Linked DNA regions of Tribolium castaneum. The protein of the gene in region 1 interacts with the protein of each later gene in a biochemical or structural test. Links are inferred from orthologs where the notes say so. Each region holds a gene or a part of one and is shown on either strand. Other genes may lie near its edges.

Region 1 (3,388 bases):
AGCTCAACCCCCCTACTCCCCACTGTGATTTTTCCAAATTTTTTGAACGCCCAGTCTCAGTGTTACAAGCGGCCCCCCTCCCAGCCTCAACCCCCGATATTTCGCAAACCGATCGTTCGATTTCGTCCAAATTTGCACTAGATATAGCTCAGCCCCTTTGCCCCCTACTGTAATTTTTCCGAATTTTTTGAACGTAGAGCTTCAATGTTACACGTGACCAATCTACTCAAATTCAACCCCCAATATTTCGCAAACCGGTGGTTTGATTTCGTCCAAATTTGCACCAAGCGTAGCTCAGCCCCCTTTGCCCCTACTGTGATTTTTCCAAATGTTTTGAACGCCCAGTCTCGGTGTTACAAGCGGCCCCCTTCCCAGGCTCAACCCCCGATATTTCGCAAACCGATCGTTCGATTTCGTCCAAATTTGTACTAGATATAGCTCAGCCCCTTTGCCCCCTACTGTAATTTTTCCAAATTTTTTGAACGTACAGTTTCAATGTTACACGTGACCAATCTCCTCAAATTCAACCCCCAGTATTTCGCAAACCGATGATTTGATTTCCTCCAAATTTGCACCAAGCGTAGCTCAGCCCCCTTGCCCCCTACTGTAATTTTTCCAAATTTTTTGAACGTAGAGTTTCAATGTTACACGTGACCAATCTCCTCAAATTCAACCCCCAGTATTTCGCAAACCGATGATTTGATTTCCGCCAAATTTGCACCAAGCGTAGCTCAGCCCCCTTTGCCCCTACTGTGATTTTTCCAAATGTTTTGAACGCCCAGTCTCGGTGTTACAAGCGGCCCCCCTCCCAGGCTCAACCCCCGATATTTCGCAAACCGATCGTTCGATTTCGTCCAAATTTGTACTAGATATAGCTCAGCCCCTTTGCCCTCTACTGTAATTTTTCCAAATTTTTTGAACGTAGAGTTTCAATGTTACACGTGACCAATCTCCTCAAATTCAACCCCCAGTATTTCGCAAACCGGTGGTTTGATTTCGTCCAAATTTGCACCAAGCGTAGCTCAGCCCCCTTTGCCCCTACTGTGATTTTTCCAAATGTTTTGAACGCCCAGTCTCGGTGTTACAAGCGGCCCCCTTCCCAGGCTCAACCCCCGATATTTCGCAAACCGATCGTTCGATTTCGTCCAAATTTGTACTAGATATAGCTCAGCCCCTTTGCCCCCTACTGTAATTTTTCCAAATTTTTTGAACGTACAGTTTCAATGTTACACGTGACCAATCTCCTCAAATTCAACCCCCAGTATTTCGCAAACCGATGATTTGATTTCCTCCAAATTTGCACCAAGCGTAGCTCAGCCCCTTTGCCCCCTACTGTAATTTTTCCAAATTTTTTGAACGTAGAGTTTCAATGTTACACGTGACCAATCTCCTCAAATTCAACCCCCAGTATTTCGCAAACCGATGATTTGATTTCCTCCAAATTTGCACCAAGCGTAGCTCAGCCCCCTTTGCCCCTACTGTGATTTTTCCAAATGTTTTGAACGCCCAGTCTCGGTGTTACAAGCGGCCCCCCTCCCAGGCTCAACCCCCGATATTTCGCAAACCGATCGTTCGATTTCGTCCAAATTTGTACTAGATATAGCTCAGCCCCTTTGCCCTCTACTGTAATTTTTCCAAATTTTTTGAACGTAGAGTTTCAATGTTACACGTGACCAATCTCCTCAAATTCAACCCCCAGTATTTCGCAAACCGATGATTTGATTTCCTCCAAATTTGCACCAAGCGTAGCTCAGCCCTCCTTGCCCCTACTGTGATTTTTCCAAATTTTTTGAACGCCCAGTTTTGGTGTTACAGCTGACCCCCCCTCCCAGCTACAAGTGTCAATATCTCGGAAACCGCTCGTTCGATTTTGTTCAAATTTGGCCACGACGTGCCCCACGCCCTTTTGTCTTAGCTGTGATTTTATCAAAATTTTCGGCCGTCTAGTTTAGGCGTAAAACGCGGCCCCCTCTCACCTGATCGTCTTATCCCTGGAACACGACGCCAGAAACGGTCCCATATGTGCCCCCTTCTTATTATCGACTCCTGCCGCTTCATTGATGGCATTCGCAGCCGAATCAGGTGCCCATGCTACGAATTCGACAACGTGTTCGTGTGCTCTCAACTCAGCTCGACATTCCTTCGTATAAACCTGCCATATTCTGATGGTCTGATCGTTGGAACAACTGGCCAAGAGTTGACCATCGGGCGATGGCCGCACAACTCTGACCCAATCCTTGTGTCCTGTAAAGGTTTTGACACAATAACCGGTCGAAACCTCCCACATTTTGATGGTTTTATCGCGACTTGACGAAACGACAAAATCCCCCGCTGGCATGAACGCCACCGATGATATATTGTGATCATGCCCGAGCATCGTTCGGATGCATTCGTAACTCTGTTGGAAATCCCATAATTTAATCGACATATCGGCGCTACAGGAAACTAGCAGTTTTCCTGTGGCGTCGAAAGCGACGTCTTGAACGGCATCCGAGTGGCCTTTGAGGGTCCTCTCGTATTCCCCTGTCTCAAAATCCCAGACTTTAATCGTAGCATCTTCACTTGTCGATACAAAGAGACTAAACAACGGATGGAATATGACACGTGTGACGGGGGCTCGGTGCCCCGTCAGGGCGTATTTCTCAGGGGGTCTGGGGATCCATTCGGCTGGACTGCGTTTGCCGCGAGTTGGTGCCCCCTCGATGTATTCCTTTTCGGCTTCGTGGAGTTTCGATTCGAGTTCCATCACTTTCTTCTGGAGACGTATCACAGATGTCCATTTTTTTTCGAGAAGACCGCCGAATTTGCGCTCGAGTTCGCCGGGCATGTCCGTTTCTTTTTTGAACGCTTCTAGTGCGTTCATGTAACCGTTGCTACTGAGGTAATCAGCGATGGCTTTGTTACTGCAAAAATCACAAGTGATGTAATAAAATAAACACAAATGTGGGTGATGTAAGGGGGTCTTATTATATGGACGAGACGAGTATTTTATTAATAAAAGAAAATTTACATGAATCAATAGCTCACGGTCAAACGACGTAAAAATAACAAACGAATTCAAGGTTTTGCTTAAAATCAATAAAGAGAGTCATTAAAGAAACAAAAGCAAACTCAGCAAATTCCGAGACCTGATTTTGCGACAAATTAATAAAAAAAAATTAATAAATCGATTTCTACAAATTAAGACAAAAAACTATAACATACAGAAATTATTTTAATAACCGATAATTTCAAAAAATTCCAAAAACTTGAATTTTTGAAAAAAATACACCCAAAAAAATAGTTTTATTTGCTTAAAAATTAGACAAATTCAAAGTTCAGATATTAATAAAAAATAATAATAAATCAATTAATTTTAGAATTTACTTTTATTTTTCGTTGGTTTTGT
Region 2 (4,447 bases), on another chromosome or scaffold:
ACCAGAGGGTGAAACTTTTACGACACCGTCACCGCGATAAGGGGGCGACTTCATTGAAGATAAGTGTGCAAAAGGTCGAGTATTTGTCGTGGTCAAAAATTCCGAGGAATTTTGAAGCCTACGCAGTCTTTGAAGTAGTAAAGGCACAAGTCGTCCGTTTTGTTCCCTATTTTTTGGTAATTAACTGCGATAAGACCAAAGCGGAAACTTACCTAAAACGTGTGGCAATTTCTGGAATTTCCATTGCAGCAGCTAAAAGCCCCGTTGCGTAACTTTGCAGAGGTTCTATTGAATTTGTAGTCCATTTAATTAAACGGTGAATCAAATTATCCATATCGGGCTGAAACTAGTCGTTAGTTTTCCCCCCAAAAAAATAATTGACACGTACTTGAAACACCACTGATGTCTCTAAGCCAGGCATTACGTCTAGCATCAACCTACAAGCTGCAATATTCAACTGATCAACATCCTTGTCTGTGATTCCTGACCGAGAGTAGTACGTTTCTCTCAAATAATCGTTAACAAGCTGAAAAAATATTTATGTGTGTCTTTTTATGTTTTTGTGGAGAGTTAATACTTTGTTCATAAAAATATCCTTCCTAAAAAGCGCTTTTAAAATTTGGCCAAGTTTGCAGTCAGGATCAGTTCGTGAAGGGTGGCGTTCATCAAATGGGTCAGGATCCATTTTCAGGTAATTTTCAGTCTCCACCTCGCATATTTCGGCCAATCTGCCAACAAAAGGGTAAGAATTTGCCAAATTAAGGCAAGATCTACCTGGTGAGTGTCTGAATGGGGTCATAATTAGGCGCCGTATGTTCATCTTCCCAGTTTCTTATCAGAGTTGTGACTTCTGACATAACAGAAGTCGAATTGCTGTTTTCCGACATTATTGGCTCAAAACGTTATAAAATAAAGGGCATGAGGTAGTTTAACATAACCTAAAATACTTTACAGTTCCGTAATTGCAAGGTGAGATAATTAGGACACCGGGAGACTGGCAAAAACAATGCGATAATGTGAACTCTACACTTCTGGCTTGTAAAAAATCGTAATCAGTTTGATTATTTCACAAATTGGCGCAATACACATTCACAAAGCGCAAAACACAATTCTTGGCTTCCATTGAAAAATCGAGCACGTATGTTACTAAAAAAGTGCCGCCAATGGTACAAAAAAAAAACAGAGCTAAAATAAACCCTTGGGAAATTTAACGAATAGGAAATAAGCTTCGCACTATCGAAATATACACCCCCTTTGCATGTTTTAATTTTAATTTGAGGGTGGTCCCCGTTTGGCTAAAATTCCCACATTCGGTTGACCCATCAATGTTGGTACAAGCACCGTTTTTGGAAGTTTTCACGCCGATTGGTTTGGTTGGTACAATTGATATTTGGTCGATAGAAGAAAAGTCTAGCAATTTCCACGATTTTTGACCATTTTTTCACGAAAAAAGTCCAGTCAAGATGAGTGGCGATGATAATCAGACTGAGCAATTCGATTCCCTCTTCCTGTCAATAGCCCAGCACCATCCGCACGGCGCTTCGCAGGTGAGCCTCGATCTGTTTACTCTAACCTTAAAATCACGACAAAACTGTAGTTATTGGACACTTTTGTGAGTTTTCTAAGCCGCAAGACGGATTTTTTCACCGGGGGCGAGGAAGGAGCATGGGAAAAGGTAGTCCGGGGTAAAGCCAGTTCGAAAAATAATGACCTGGTTTTTAGTTAGTAATGAGCACATTTAGGAAATACGAACAAGTTAGTCGTAAGAAACACGAGACGGAGTTAAAAGAGCGTCGGGAACGTGAAGCCGCCAAAAAGAAGAAACAGCAAGAAGAGGAGAAGGTAAAACCGGCGGAAATCACCGAATTGACTGATGCTGAGGCTGAAAAGTTGCAAGCCGAGTTAGATGCTAAGAAAAGTGGGGTGAGTAATGGGGCCCCAGCTGTTGAGAAAATTGAAGAGGATGAGGATGCCTCAGAGATTGGGAAATTGAAGCCAAACAGTGGCAATGGATGTGATTTGGACAAGTACAGGTGGACGCAGACTCTCCAAGACGTTGAGGTAAGTCTTAGTTTTGTAGAAAATTTATTTGTATAATTTAATTAAAAATCAATTTACAAGATTTCCAAGGAGGTTCGGGACCTGCCTTAAAATTGTTCATAAATACTATACAATGCTGTAATGATTGCTTTTACATATCACAGTAACATCAAAAAATACTTATGGATAGCTTATGATTTAGAACAACCACAATTTTGGTCCAGTTGCTAAACCTAATTAAATAGGGAATTAAATAACTAACTACGATAAGTGCGCACGACATTTCAATGCTTCGTCAATTTTTGGAGAAATGTCGATGCTTGTCCTAATCCTAGTACCGTTGTCTTTTCGCCCTCACTGAAACAATAAAAAATTGGAAATTGGCTGAAATGAAAGCGGAAGAACTTACTTTCTAAGAGAAATATCGCCGCCAAGATCCCTATGGTAAACAAAGCGGACATCGTCAAAACTAGAATCGTCAATTGGTGTTTTCGACAGAAACTTCTTTGCCTGACCACAGGTCTCGTGTTCATATTAACTACGGTAAAATGCATCGAACTTGCCACTGAAACAGCATCTGGGTCTGGTTTCTTCAAATCGTTAACAGGCAGTGCTATGTGATCATTGTTGTTTGTTTGTTCGAGGTAATACTGAATGTTTTGTTGTCTGGTGTTTTTGTCCGTGTCCGGATTTTGTATTTGGGCCAGATTTGCTGCTGTCAGTAGTAACGAACCGGACCTTGCACTCTAAAAATCCAATGATTTTCTTGTCTTAATTTTTTTATTTGTACCTGTGTGCTATTATTGCTAGACGTCGAACCCTGCGAACTCTTTGAGCTTCTAGCTAGTGTGGGTCTGGGGATGTGCCAGCTCTTGTTGAGCTCTGCCGGAGTCTGCAAAAATCAATATTAATGTAATAAAGTAAGTGGTTATTTAATATCGAAGGTCGCGTATTTATTGTTAATTCATCGCATTATGCAAGACGGTAAGCAGGTGTCAAAACGAAATCGGTACATTCTCGTACCGTTCATAAAAATTTCGGATTAATTTATGTTAATTCTGATTTCGGCCTCGTTTTTTATTAATCAATGTACAATTTCCTTATTAAGCCCGTGTTTTTTTCATTGAGCGCCGAACGTGACGCTCATTTTTATTTTATAGATCGTGTTTGTATGACATTTTGTAATAATTGGCTTTGTTGGTAAAAATACACATTGTGGCATTTTATTGTTTGATTCGGTAGCATTGAATTTAATCACCCGCTTAATAAAAGCTGGGAAGATTGACAAGTAATCAGTGAAACACGCTAATACATTTTTATCTCGGTCACGGCCGCCGTTTGTAGTCTAATTTTTCACTAGTGGCCTTTTTCTCGGTATTCTTCCGATGATTTTCAGGCGATAATGACTGTAACCTCTCTCCTGGAATTCGGCGATGTTTTTATTTACGTCTTCTCACAATCGAACCGTCCTTGCTTCAAACCATTAATATTTGTTTTGACACATTCCGGATTCTGCTCATTGCAAGTGACGACATTTGTGGATTTTCTTGTTGCATCATGTTTTAATCACTTAATTCAAACAGAGACGCGTGCTTGGTGCTTTTTGGTAGTCGGAAGAATATTGAAACGTTCAAGGGTACAATTCGGACGAAACAATTGGAAGATAAATTACAAAGTTTCAAGTGAAGGTTTAGCGACCTAAACTTTATAGGTTTATGTAAATTGCAAGCGATTAATGAGTGCGGTATTAATCAACATCAATTAACTGCGTTCGAAGGCGACCTCCACTGCACATCTCAGTAGACAATCTAGATATTCTAATTTATTGAATAGTTACTATGCACGAAACGAATCATTATCACCAACAATATTTATAATCATCCTTTCTCCCGGGTTTGGTGAAATTATTAGAGCGAGCATTTCGGCTCTGAATTAATTCGAGTGATATTCGCTCATTTTTACTACTTCCTCATTTGCTTACATAAACATGTGAGTGAAAATTTCCGGGGTGGTGCGACTCTTGGATTTTTTGTTGAAAAATCTTCATTTAAAGTTATAATTTTAATCGTGTTTTCGGGTCAATGCCAGTCTGTTTACCTTATTTTAAATAATGGGAAAACAAGAGGATGCGTGTTTACACAACAAACTTCTCATTTATTTTAATCGGCCGTGCACGGCGAAAAAATTATTGATTCAAAAGGGACGATTTTTTCACAAGGAAGTTACTTTCACGAGCTGCGAGCTGTAATTATTTTTTCTGTTTTGTTTATTAATTGTCCGTTGTGATTTGATGTAATTAAGGAACTGAGTCAAGGTTTTGGGTAGGGTTTCAACGTCATGCATTTTTTCTCAAGCCGAGAGACCCTTTAAATCATGAATGCACCGTGTTTTCTCTTAATTAAAACTT

Evidence for each region.
Region 2: the proteins of Lis-1 (region 1) and nudC form a complex in vitro, tested with the Homo sapiens proteins (3 studies listed by BioGRID). The link is inferred for Tribolium castaneum from reciprocal best matches to the Homo sapiens genes PAFAH1B1 and NUDC.

What each region holds. Positions count from the first base shown.
Region 1 is NC_087399.1:2,663,206-2,666,593, reverse strand, and holds part of Lis-1 (lissencephaly-1 homolog), read right to left. Parts: intron 2,904-3,388; coding exon 1,977-2,903; intron 1-1,976. UniProt on the Homo sapiens protein: Regulatory subunit (beta subunit) of the cytosolic type I platelet-activating factor (PAF) acetylhydrolase (PAF-AH (I)), an enzyme that catalyzes the hydrolyze of the acetyl group at the sn-2 position of PAF and its analogs and participates in PAF inactivation.
Region 2 is NC_087398.1:987,851-992,297, forward strand, and holds the start of nudC (nuclear migration protein nudC), read left to right. Parts: upstream 1-1,355; 5' UTR 1,356-1,463; coding exon 1,464-1,547; intron 1,548-1,597; coding exon 1,598-1,675; intron 1,676-1,722; coding exon 1,723-2,061; intron 2,062-2,068; exon of another isoform or gene 2,069-2,371; coding exon of another isoform or gene 2,372-2,397; intron 2,398-2,449; coding exon of another isoform or gene 2,450-2,786; intron 2,787-2,830; coding exon of another isoform or gene 2,831-2,932; intron 2,933-4,447. Other genes in the region: mahj (protein mahjong), read right to left, coding at 1-166, 213-340, 389-526, 578-728, 775-887; uncharacterized protein LOC656652, read right to left, coding at 2,372-2,397, 2,450-2,786, 2,831-2,932. UniProt on the Homo sapiens protein: Plays a role in neurogenesis and neuronal migration. Necessary for correct formation of mitotic spindles and chromosome separation during mitosis. Necessary for cytokinesis and cell proliferation.